Schizosaccharomyces pombe: one gene and its partners. Each later gene encodes a partner of the first gene's protein in a complex. Each region holds a gene or a part of one and is shown in the gene's direction. Other genes may lie near its edges. The genes, in order: csl4, rrp42 and rrp41.

Region 1 (3,455 bases):
TAATTCAAGAATATAACTGTAGTCAAATATATACATCTATATTCCCCACGTCCATAAGATTTGTATATTTGTTTACAACGGGTATTTTTAGTTAGAAGAACGGTTGCTTGTAATGATGAGGAAGGATTCGTGAGCCGGATATAGCTGGAATAATGTTCAATACCTTTTCCTTTAATAGATCTATTTTACAAAATAAATTTCGTTGATTAATAAAACAAAAGATCATTTAAAAATCGTGCGCTTCACAAATTACTTTAATTTTCTTTTGACACAAGATTGTGTTCCTTTCCAAACTAAAAATATAATTGGGTTACTTCTTATATTGATAGCAAAGTTAGCTTCAAAATTTTAAGACAAAAAGGTGTTTTCAATTTGATTAGTTTATTAAAATTCTTGATTTTTTTGTTTTTGCTGTATGTTTTATAAAAAGTATCATGTCACTTGAAATACATGCTGTAAGACTACCTACTTTTGTTTAGCACTACCATACTGTAATACAACTAATACTTAAATCACTTTATCATGAGTCTTGCTGATTTTATGGAACGTAAGTGTCAAATTTTCAATAGAGAATGAAGTGACTAATATAGATGTTCGTTAGAAAGGGTTCAAGTCATTACAAACGATGGTCGCGTTGTGCTAGGTTCCCTGAAGGGATTCGATCACACGACCAATCTTATACTTTCAGACTCATTTGAAAGAATTATTAGCATGGATCAAGACATGGAAACAATTCCTTTAGGCGTTTATTTATTACGTGGAGAAAATGTGTAAGTGGACGCAGAGCCTTGTACTGGCGGTACGTAAATCAATAATCTAATAGTTATTTTTAGAGCAATGGTTGGATTAGTGAATGAGGAATTAGATTCAGAAATAGAATGGACCAAAATTCGAGGTGAAGCAATACCTGACGTTGTGCATTAATACAAAAACCGGACGTTAAACTTCAAATGAGAACAAACGTTTAAGGCTACATAGGATTTGGGTTAATGATTTTTTTGTTATATTTCCTCTTTGTGCGGGCGAATCCTTTGCAAATTTTGTTAAGCTTTCCACGATATATTCATACCTTGCAGCATGTCTTTTATCAGGAAGCTATTAGCTCGTAGAAAGAAGTGAAAATTCTTTCTTTATTTTTTTAAAAAAATATGACTGAGGTTGTAGATTAATTCTGATGACAAAGAGTTGACACTTGAACGAAAATACTTAAAAAAATGGTTTAAAATACCGAGTTCGAGGACATCGGTTCTTTCAGAATTTAAAAAATTCTTGGTTTCTTGTTAAATTTGTGGATCACAAACTCATTTTTCTTCTTATTTTGTGGGTTTCATCTTTCTTAAATGATTCTTGGGAACGTTAACATACCTTTGTTTCCTTAATTTGATTTATGCACTTTGATTTTGAAATTTGTGGTCAACTTGTTTAAAGACTTTATATTTATCATTGATTTTTGTTATTATATGGAAAAAAACATCACAATTTATATCATTTACTGTGCATAACATTCTTCATTTTTGCTGTCACGCTTAATGTTTACACTGGAAAATTTCTCTACCTTGAGAAATATTTCAGCATCATGGTCCAATTTACAAAGATCATTTGAGTTAAACAAAAAAAATGATTTATTATATTTGCTGCTCATATTTTTTTTTTAGTGATTTTTTATTTTGGCATCGTTTTGTGAACTTACTTTCCAAGCTTTGGGATTATCAAGAAAAAATTTTTGTTGAAAGAAGAGCAGAAAAACTGTTTGATAATTAAATGCCTTTGCAATTTCATTTTCTCAATTTAGCAAAATAAACTGAAATTTCTGCAGCAGTGACTTTAGGTTACATTGTAACCTACAGTTTACAACGACCTTTGTGCTTACAGCAACTTTTTTTCAATTAATTTTTTACAGCCATACAAAACGGACTTGATTCCTTTATTTTTAGTTTATTAAAGCCGTTAAATATGAATTTGGTTCTCCCTGGACAGGTGGTCGCGAGAGGGGCTCCTAACGGTGAAGGAACGGTAAAGAGAGGAGATTATATTATTTCCACACGAACTGGCATCTTTGATCCAGAGAAAAATTCTGTAACGTACCCAAGAAAAGTTGAAGAGACAGCCGTTTTACCTAATGTCGGATCTATTGTTTTAGCTCGCGTCAGCAGGATCAATGCTCGTCAAGCAACTGTAAACATCTCAGTCGTTGACGATGTCTGCACCAAAGATGAATTTCAAGGGGTAATACATGTGCAGGATATTAGAGCTACTGAGAAAAATAAAGTCAAAGTGCAAAATTCATTCCGACCGGGTGATATTGTCAGAGCACTTGTAATTTCACTTGGAGACGGCTCTTCGTACTTTTTAACAACAGCTCGAAATGATCTTGGTGTGATTTTTGCTCAGTCTAGTGAAACAGGAGAGCAAATGTTTCCGGTGGATTATCAGCATATGCAAACAAAATCAGGATATACGGAAATGCGTAAATGTGCTAAACCTATATTAGACGAATAAAATGAGGGGATAAAATTGCTTTGTTTTGATATAACCTGATAGTTTTTTTTCCCTCTCGGTTCGTTCTTTCCTAACAAAAAAAAAATTCTGAAATTGTTAGAGATTTTATGATACGAATATACGGAACACGGATAAAAATAATATTGAATATAGAAATATTGGAAGTTCATTAGAATGATGATTGAGGTGACTTGCTGTCGAAACCGATATCATTTTCAATTAGAAGTCAAATGTATAGTTTTATAAGATATAGAGAACCTTTGTAATTCAACTGAACGGACAGGAGCTCTGAAGTTTCTTAAAGTTATTTACTTAATGGAACTGAATTGGTCGGTTGTTTATAAACTCTAATTCATTAACAAAAACATGAATAAGGAGTTTCTAGCAATAATATGTGTTATGTTTACAACTTTCTAAGAAGGTTACTGTATTAAGTTATTTTGTGTAATTTAATATCGAGGATTGCACCTTTCATTGGAGGCTGTGATATCCTGAAATAACATTTATGATCACAGATTTAAGGATGAAGTATTTAATGACATGAAAATTAGTATTCGTACACCTCTCAGTAACTTTTCAAAACTACTTTCAGTTTTTACATTAAGGGATTGGATGTACTTTTTATACACAGTTTTATAAAATACTAGGTTGTCTCTAAACATCAAGTATCATCTCAATCTTTACTTTCGGCCATTAGACTGATATATTTTATATCAATTAATTAGTAGACAACTGTTTCCAGATTCTCATATAAGCACGAGAGCTTCTATTCTACCCGTCTTTTCCGTATATAGCTGTCATGACTCATTAAGCTACTCCAGCGTGAGACTATCAAATTTAATCTCTTCATCCCTAATATTTGTTTGTAAATACTTATAATTGCAAAATATTCCATTACCATGACATCAAATAGAGGATTCTAAATCCAATTCGCAGGTACACTGACTTTAATGGAT
Region 2 (4,484 bases), on another chromosome or scaffold:
CTTTGCTCGCATAGTTGAAGCTAGTCACATGGTTCCATACGATCATCCTAATGAAATGAAGACCTTGATTACTGCTTTCTTTAATAATGACTTTGCCAGCTTACCATCGGTACCTAAACCCTCTCCGGATTTAGGTAATGGAAACTACAAATGGCTTTATTTGGGTTTGATTCCTGTTGCTTTAACTATCATTATTTTATTCTCAATTTATTTGTGCAGGAGATTTGGATTATTTGGTCTTAGCAAACAACGCTACCAACCTATATCTCCAACTCCTTAGACTGTATATAAATCTTTTCTGTCGGTTTTTACTTTCACATACAGATTTTCTGCTCTTTATTTTAATCATTTAACTTTTAATCTTGCTTTATCGGTGGTAGAATTTATTTTTTTATCTTGGAACGTTCTTCCCTGGTTTTAAAAAATCTGCGATTATCACCATAAATTTTATCTCTCATCTTTAATCAAATTTCACTTATGGATACATTCTTTGAATTTTTATTTTTGCACATAGTCTCTAAATGATCTCAAATCATGAATATGAAATATCATGTACCAAACATTGTCTTATAGCTATTGTTTGTTCTACAGTTTTTGTAGTTTTTTTATAGGACAGATTAGCGTCAAACGCTAATCTCAATAACGTGTTTGCAATAGTACAGTATATCATGGAGAACTACGTCTTGTAACATGTGTCACAAATGTATAAATACTAGTGAGATCTGTCTGTTTATATTGACAATCCGTTACATCCCTTAATAATCGATTATTATAAATAATTTATAATCGAATCACGTTCCTAAATTCAGTTAGAAGCTATAGCAATGGGAGGATTCTATCACATCTACGCATGAGAACAAAGGAGAACTGCAAGCTAATAACAGATCTACTGTAATCATATTTGACAATCCAAAATCGACGCACGTTATCAGGGACACAATTGATGCGTTTGGTAAATTTTACAGACAGCCTTAACTAAATAGGTCTAGGCAACGAGTGAACTAGCTCTATATCAAAGAAGAAATTGGATAGTTTTATTTCGATGACAACGTCTTTAAATCCATGATCCAATAGGCCCAACTTGCTTGTGGATGGATACTTACAGATGGCACGCTATCGAACAGAACACCAGATATGATCTTATTGCTACTCGGCCAAATTGCATCAAAGTGGTAAATAATATTTCAGCGTAGGTTTTGCATCCAAAATTTTGAAGGAATAGGTTATAATGAAGCACCAACTGCCCAAGCATTTTCAACTGATGTAAACTTGCGAAATTTTTAGAGAATGCGCCTTTTCTGCTGTGTCAATAAACAAGTCTTAGCTAATAAAAAAACATGTCGCAGTAGTACTGACAACGCTATAATTTACTACGTTGTGTATCACATTTGGAACATGTTCTATTTAAACATAGCCTCGTAGATGATAGATATTGGGGCAAATCATTTGATATCTGAAACAAATATTTAGTTTATATGTTCAACAATTTAAATAGGAAACTAAATTTCGTTCCTCACTTTAGTCAGAAGCTAATAACAGAAATAGATCATAAATAATACCTACATATACCAATATTTTCAATGACTCATAGCCGTTATACCTATGTATTATAATATAACAGATCACATGTAAAACTTATCGCGGTTTTGCATATCGTTAAACAGATACAAAACTGCGTAGCATACATAACGAACTTTAGAATATACGCAAGAACTCAACGCAATATTGCAAGGAAAATTATTCTTAAACGATATACCATTAGCCAACATATGCAATTGTCATTACCAGAACTATCGTACACACACAAATCAATAACAGAATTTGAGCCTGCAATTCGGAATGATGGACGTTCGATAGACCAGCTTCGTCCGCTTTCTGGACAAGTAGATGTTCTGCCTGGTACAAATGGTTCTGCTAGAGTTAAATGGGCGTCTTCGGTGGAGATAGTCATAGGTGTAAAAGCAGAAGTGGGTGATGCTACTCCCGAAGGTGGTAAATATGTCGCTTCAGTTGAAATGTACGTGAGATATTTGGAGTTCGTATTAACATTGTTTGGCGTAACAAACAATATGAATCAATTGAAAAAAGCTGGTATGCTAACACTTTTTATGTAGTTCTCCATCTGTTTCAATCCAGAATCGTGAAACCGATGAAATTCCTTCATTCCTTACAAGTGCCCTTCAGGATTTATTAAACGCACTTGCTGTCGACTATTTGAAATTTACACCATCTAAAGCTTGGATTATTCACGTAGATGCTGTTGTAATACTTTCTTCGTCTCCTTACGAAAACATTCTTTCAGCTTTAAGTCTTGCTGCTTATTTAGCATTACAGACTACACGTTTACCTAAAATTTCTACCCCCAATGTCACAGACATCACTATTGGATCTACTAAATATGAGCCTTCCGAAGAATACGATGTTGATTCAGAATGGGAAAATGCATTACCTTTGCAAGGGTTAGAATTAATGTCAGTCATAATTTTGGTTAGTAGCATTGATCAAGTGATAATTGTTGATCCTACAATTGAGGAATCAAGTGTCGCTCAAGTGACATATGCGATTGGTGTTCAAGCTAGTGGTGCTATTAGCTATACCAGGGTCGTGGGTACTGGAGGAGGCTACGCATCCACTGGACGTGCAATAACTGTAGAGCGATATATAGAATTGTTAGAGACTGCGTCTACCGTTGGTACTAAGCTTTTGAACGCCAGCAGCGATATTCTATCTTTTAAGGGTTTAGGATTTTTTGATATTCTTCCATAAATGAATTGGGTTGGGTTGGTCTCCATTTCCTATATAATAGCATCTTTCTCTCTATATATATATATAAATGCAATACTTGGGTTACGGAATCAGGATCAATTTTGTTACATGAAGAGGCATGCATCGGTATTTTTGGTTACTATGGTTGGTCATTGTATTTCGTTTAGGTCAAAGTCATATAGCAAGTATAGTAGATGGGAATAATTTAAGGGAAATGAAATGGTAACGTCTATAAAAATAATAAAGCCTATGCGGCCACTTCTTGGCTTGTTTGGTCAACGTGATCCAACATTTTTTGGATCTTAGAAACAAGTTGCTTCCGTTCAAAACGCAATTTCTCGCTGCCCAGTACGTCAACTCCATCCAATTTTAAAAGCTGTTGTAAAAGTAGTTCACTTATCATTAGTTTCTGTTTGTTTTTCTGCTTTGGATCGTTCGACGGTTTATTTACGTAATTGTCGTACATGGGGGAAAGTTCTTTGTCAACATACTGATCGATGGCTTTTATTTCTCCAGAAATACGCGAAAATACAGGATTCTCCGCTTCCGCTTTCGGAGCGGGCTCAACCGTGTCTTTTTCCTTGGAACCTCGTTGTTGCTTATGTGGTCTTATACATAGAATTTTACTATGATTTTTTAAACCCAATTTTGATAACGAGGCTTTTTTGTCTTTTAAACGCTTGCCAGCGTAAAAAAGCTTGACTTTCTTCTCAGAAATCTCAGTCGTTTCAAGTAAATCATCAATCAGTTCACTTAACGTCTCATTTAGATTGACTGCTACCGGAAATCGCTGATTTCCATAGTGTATTGTAACTGTGCTAGTCTTTTCTGACATTGACGATATTAAGTCGACTTGCTTAACGGATCCAACTCAAGATGTTTTATGTTTTTAAGGCTGATGCTATCCAAAAAAATGAAGGTCTTAATGCGACGCTTAAAAACGAAAGGTAATAAGTTAATAAAAGTATACGAGCGGTCTGGTTATCTAGGTTTGCGGTTCATTATGACTCATAAGGTAGACTCTGCAACTCTGCGTTATATTTGTTAGCAACCATAAAATGAAAAGATTAATAAATAAAGTATGGGATTTTGAAAATTGGAAAAGTAGGAAACAATGATAATTTGACTTACATTTTTTAAACAATCGAATCTTTGCTTTGTGAGATGAAAAACATCACGGAATTGGGTAAGGATCATATGAACTAGAACATTCCGATTAAGTTGGCCATTTTCTATGTTTTTAAGTTGAACTTCCATTTCTTTTCGCAAGAAAGGCTTGGTCAAACTCCACTCTAAACCAATTTCATCATAGCCTTTTGCCAAAGCAACTCCTAAAGAGCTTGGTACAAATTCAGTTACACCTTGGCCCCTTTTTTTTCGTTTTATGACATATTCTCTCTCCTGAACTTTTTCGATGTGCTCTGCCATAGTAGCATCTGTCCCGATTCCATTGGCATCCATCAAGGCAATTAACTCCGGTTCAGTGATATAGGAAGGGGAGGACGTTGAACTGTCCATCATGTCGAGAATGTGGGGTTGGAATTCCTCGTGAAGTCTATACTCTGGTAATTGATCCGAACTTTCCCATTTCTCATATGGATAAACCTCTAAATAATTTTTCTCTGTCACTAGCAATCCCTTTTTAGAAAAAAGCTCTTCTTCCATTTTAACCTGCACCAACGTTTCGGCTCCTTTGGCATTGTCAGAACAACAAGCTA
Region 3 (3,406 bases), on another chromosome or scaffold:
CCGATGCTCCTCACCGTCGTTCCATATTGATTGTTGGTGACGGTTCCCTTCATTTAACTGTTCAGGAAATTTCTGCTACCATCCGTAACGGTCTCACCCCTATCATATTTGTAATTAACAATAAGGGATATACAATTGAACGTCTCATTCACGGTCTTCACGCTGTTTACAACGACATCAACACTGAATGGGACTATCAAAACCTTCTTAAAGGCTATGGTGCCAAAAATTCTCGCTCCTATAACATTCATTCAGAAAAGGAGCTCCTCGATCTCTTTAAAGATGAGGAATTTGGAAAAGCTGATGTAATTCAGCTCGTTGAAGTTCATATGCCTGTCTTGGATGCTCCTCGTGTTTTGATTGAGCAAGCCAAACTTACCGCTTCTCTTAACAAGCAGTAAAAAATATGGCTATGGCTATATTATTATGATATGTTTTTGATTTTGAAATTTACAATATTTCTCAAATGATGCTTTTGTTAGGTTAGTTAATTTGCAACAGTCGTTTTTTTTTTCTACGTCAATCCATATTTCTTTCATAAAATGAATGAATATATTGAAGTTTATGCAGCGGTTGTTTTTTTGTTGGTAATTAGGATTCATTGAATGATTTATTTTTTTTTTCTTTTTGCATCCCCTTACTCCAAGGTAGACTTGTCCAGATAATTCCCTGTTAGTATAAACTCAATAACATAAAAAAAGGTCATTGAGACGACTGGTAATGAGTAGCAGCAATAGAATCACTAAATAATATAGTACCTTCAATTTGGTCTCTCGTCTATGTCTTTGGCATAGATGGTAGATACAAAGCATTCGCTACAACCAAATCTTCCTCATGGCTTACAGATACCATTACGGGAGAAAGCGGAAATCGGGGATCATGAATAACAACGGAAGGGTAGCCTATATTAATCATAACAAAGTCAGTAACTTTACAAACCTTTTATTTTTAAACATTGAACATGGAAAACAAATGACACACCTGTGGGAGTTCGAACATACTCCATCATAGACATGTAAACTCGAAAATTCGGTTGTAAAGCTTTGAAAACAGCTTCTTTGACGCACCATCTACATAGGAAAATAACCGTTAAAACTATGAAACGATCATAAATATAGACAAGCATACCTAACAGCAAGCCATTTAGCCTGTTCGCTTAAACGAGGCAGCGAGGAATTGCTTTTAATCAGGTTGTACTTTTTAATTTCATTTTCACACAGACATTTTTTTAAAAAGTTCTTTTCCCATTCAGGAGAGCGTTGAATTAATCTTGAGATTCTTGAAATTTTTAAAATGTCAATCCCTAAACCCATTTCGATTTTTGATTCTTTATAACATGAACAGGAAATATTAATGGTAATGCAAGAAGAAAAAAAGAAATCTATGGCTTCAATAATTTTGAACGCTTAATTAATAATATATTGTAAACTAAATTTCCGACACACTAAACGAGATATAAAAATCTTTATCCTTAAATAAAATGAAATAAATTTATCTAATTCATTATCGATTAGTGCCCCCAAAGACATCAAATCCAATTCGTTTCGTAGCGAATGCAGTAGCAGGAGTTTTTACTGTAACAAGTGTACTCTCTACTCACTCCCAGTTACAAAAGTGTTCAAAGGGAACCAAAAATTATATATTTGTAATCCTTTCAATCACGAAAAAAAAAATTTCATATGGTAAGAGATAGAATTTATCTCTAGATAATACGAGTACTAACCATATAGTCACACTTTGAGATTTTATCCCTTGAAGGTCTTCGAAATGGTAAGCCAATTCATTTATGGGAAATGAAAAAGAAACTTAAAATTTACATTCAAACATCTATGATTCTTATAAAATGTATTAATCTTTCTGTGTGCTAATATTTGTTGCAAGATGGTCGACGGTGGGATGAGATGAGAAACTTTCAGTGTCGTATTGGAATCGAGCCTTCGGAGAATGGGTCGGCGTTTATTGAATTGGGTAACACAAAGGTCTTGTGTATAGTCGATGGACCCTCGGAGCCTGTAATAAAGTCCAAAGCTAGAGCTGACAGAACATTTGTGAATGTCGAAATAAACATTGCTTCTTTCAGCACAATAGATGTGAAAAAGAGATTTAAATCGGATAGGAGAATTCAATTGCAATGTTTAGCTTTACAAAATACATTTGAGGAGATAATTCAAACAGAATTATATCCCAGAAGTCAAATTTCTGTCTACTTGCATGTTTTACAAGATGATGGTGCAGTAATGGCATCTTGTATCAACGCTACTACTCTTGCCTTAATAGATGCTGGTATACCAGTTAAAGATTTCGTTTGCTGTAGTACAGCTGGGATTGTTGAGTCTGATATGCTGTTGGATTTAAACTCACTAGAGGAGTCAGCTCTTTCATGGTTGACGGTTGCTGTTTTGGGGAACATAAAAAAGGTCGTATATATGCAGCTGGAAACTAGTATGCATTTGGATTATTTGGAGTCAGTAATGAATATGGCGATCGCTGGATCAGAACATATTTATAACACGATGCAAAGTGCGGTTCGACAAAGCGCTAAACCGGCACTTGCAAGTCTCAGCTAATGACAAAATTTTGGGGAAAAAAACTATTAAAAATAAATGAACGGGAAGATTAATTTTTATAATTATACATTGATAAGTCATCACAATTGCAACTTTACTTAGCTCTACGATATTCTGACAAAACGTATACAGCTTTACTCATTTTATTCCTAGTACAACGTTTTTGTCCTTATCCTTGGTATTTCTGTATAAGTATCAAAAAAATCACCTCGAATATCGTATATAATCTTTTAATGATTGCGTCCCTTTTTTGTCTAAAGGGGCTTATATTACAAAAAATATGGATTGTACTGTAGATATTATGCATCAAAAAAGGCTCATTAATTAGTTGAAGATTTTATGAATAAATTCGGTTATTCAGATCTCACTTATTATAATAAATTGATTATTTTTTGGGGGAGGCTTTCATAAACAACCGGGAATTTTTCATTCAACAGATATTACAGATTGATGTGGATTAAAAAGAAAATATATATATATATATATATTTTTTTAGATTTTTAGATATAAGAAACCTAAGGTTTATTATGAGAATCGTAAAACTGTTTTTCGAGATAAATGTTAAATTTGTTAATGTTAAAATATGAAAAACACAGTATTTTTATTTTATATATTTCTATAATGGTGCAAACTAACAGTAGCTCTTGTAGCTCAGTGGTAGAGCGCCTGTCTCGTAAACAGGAGGTCCAGTGTTCGAGTCACTGCCGGAGCAGTTTTTATATTTTTCGATCACAGATCGGCCTTTCTAATAAGCATTGAAAGCTACAAAATGAGTATACTAAGATACTTATTAATGCATATTCTTGTAAATAGGGTTTCTCACAATTCATCGAATATAC

Evidence for each region.
Region 2: csl4 (region 1) and rrp42 share a complex: the UniProt entries of both Schizosaccharomyces pombe proteins name them as parts of the RNA exosome complex.
Region 3: csl4 (region 1) and rrp41 share a complex: the UniProt entries of both Schizosaccharomyces pombe proteins name them as parts of the RNA exosome complex.

The regions. Positions count from the first base shown.
Region 1 is NC_003421.2:2,277,380-2,280,834, forward strand, and holds csl4 (exosome subunit Csl4), read left to right. Parts: upstream 1-1,888; 5' UTR 1,889-1,953; coding exon 1,954-2,499; 3' UTR 2,500-2,907; downstream 2,908-3,455. Other genes in the region: U6 snRNP-associated protein Lsm8, read left to right, coding at 523-547, 602-770, 834-924. UniProt on the Schizosaccharomyces pombe protein: Non-catalytic component of the RNA exosome complex which has 3'->5' exoribonuclease activity and participates in a multitude of cellular RNA processing and degradation events.
Region 2 is NC_003423.3:4,230,184-4,234,667, forward strand, and holds rrp42 (exosome subunit Rrp42), read left to right. Parts: upstream 1-1,757; 5' UTR 1,758-1,769; coding exon 1,770-2,017; exon of another isoform or gene 2,018-2,083; intron 2,084-2,114; coding exon 2,115-2,766; 3' UTR 2,767-3,013; coding exon of another isoform or gene 3,014-3,601; 3' UTR 3,602-3,751; coding exon of another isoform or gene 3,752-3,796; 3' UTR 3,797-3,897; downstream 3,898-4,484. Other genes in the region: kex1 (serine carboxypeptidase), read left to right, coding at 1-280; BAG family molecular chaperone regulator Bag101, read right to left, coding at 3,014-3,601; top3 (DNA topoisomerase III), read right to left, coding at 3,752-3,796, 3,898-4,484. UniProt on the Schizosaccharomyces pombe protein: Non-catalytic component of the RNA exosome complex which has 3'->5' exoribonuclease activity and participates in a multitude of cellular RNA processing and degradation events.
Region 3 is NC_003424.3:3,161,542-3,164,947, forward strand, and holds rrp41 (exosome 3'-5' phosphorolytic exoribonuclease Rrp41), read left to right. Parts: upstream 1-1,585; 5' UTR 1,586-1,679; coding exon 1,680-1,682; exon of another isoform or gene 1,683-1,730; coding exon 1,731-1,770; exon of another isoform or gene 1,771-1,881; coding exon 1,882-2,567; 3' UTR 2,568-2,813; downstream 2,814-3,406. Other genes in the region: pdc201 (pyruvate decarboxylase), read left to right, coding at 1-401; ppt2 (holo-[acyl-carrier-protein] synthase new8), read right to left, coding at 778-902, 982-1,070, 1,129-1,313. UniProt on the Schizosaccharomyces pombe protein: Non-catalytic component of the RNA exosome complex which has 3'->5' exoribonuclease activity and participates in a multitude of cellular RNA processing and degradation events.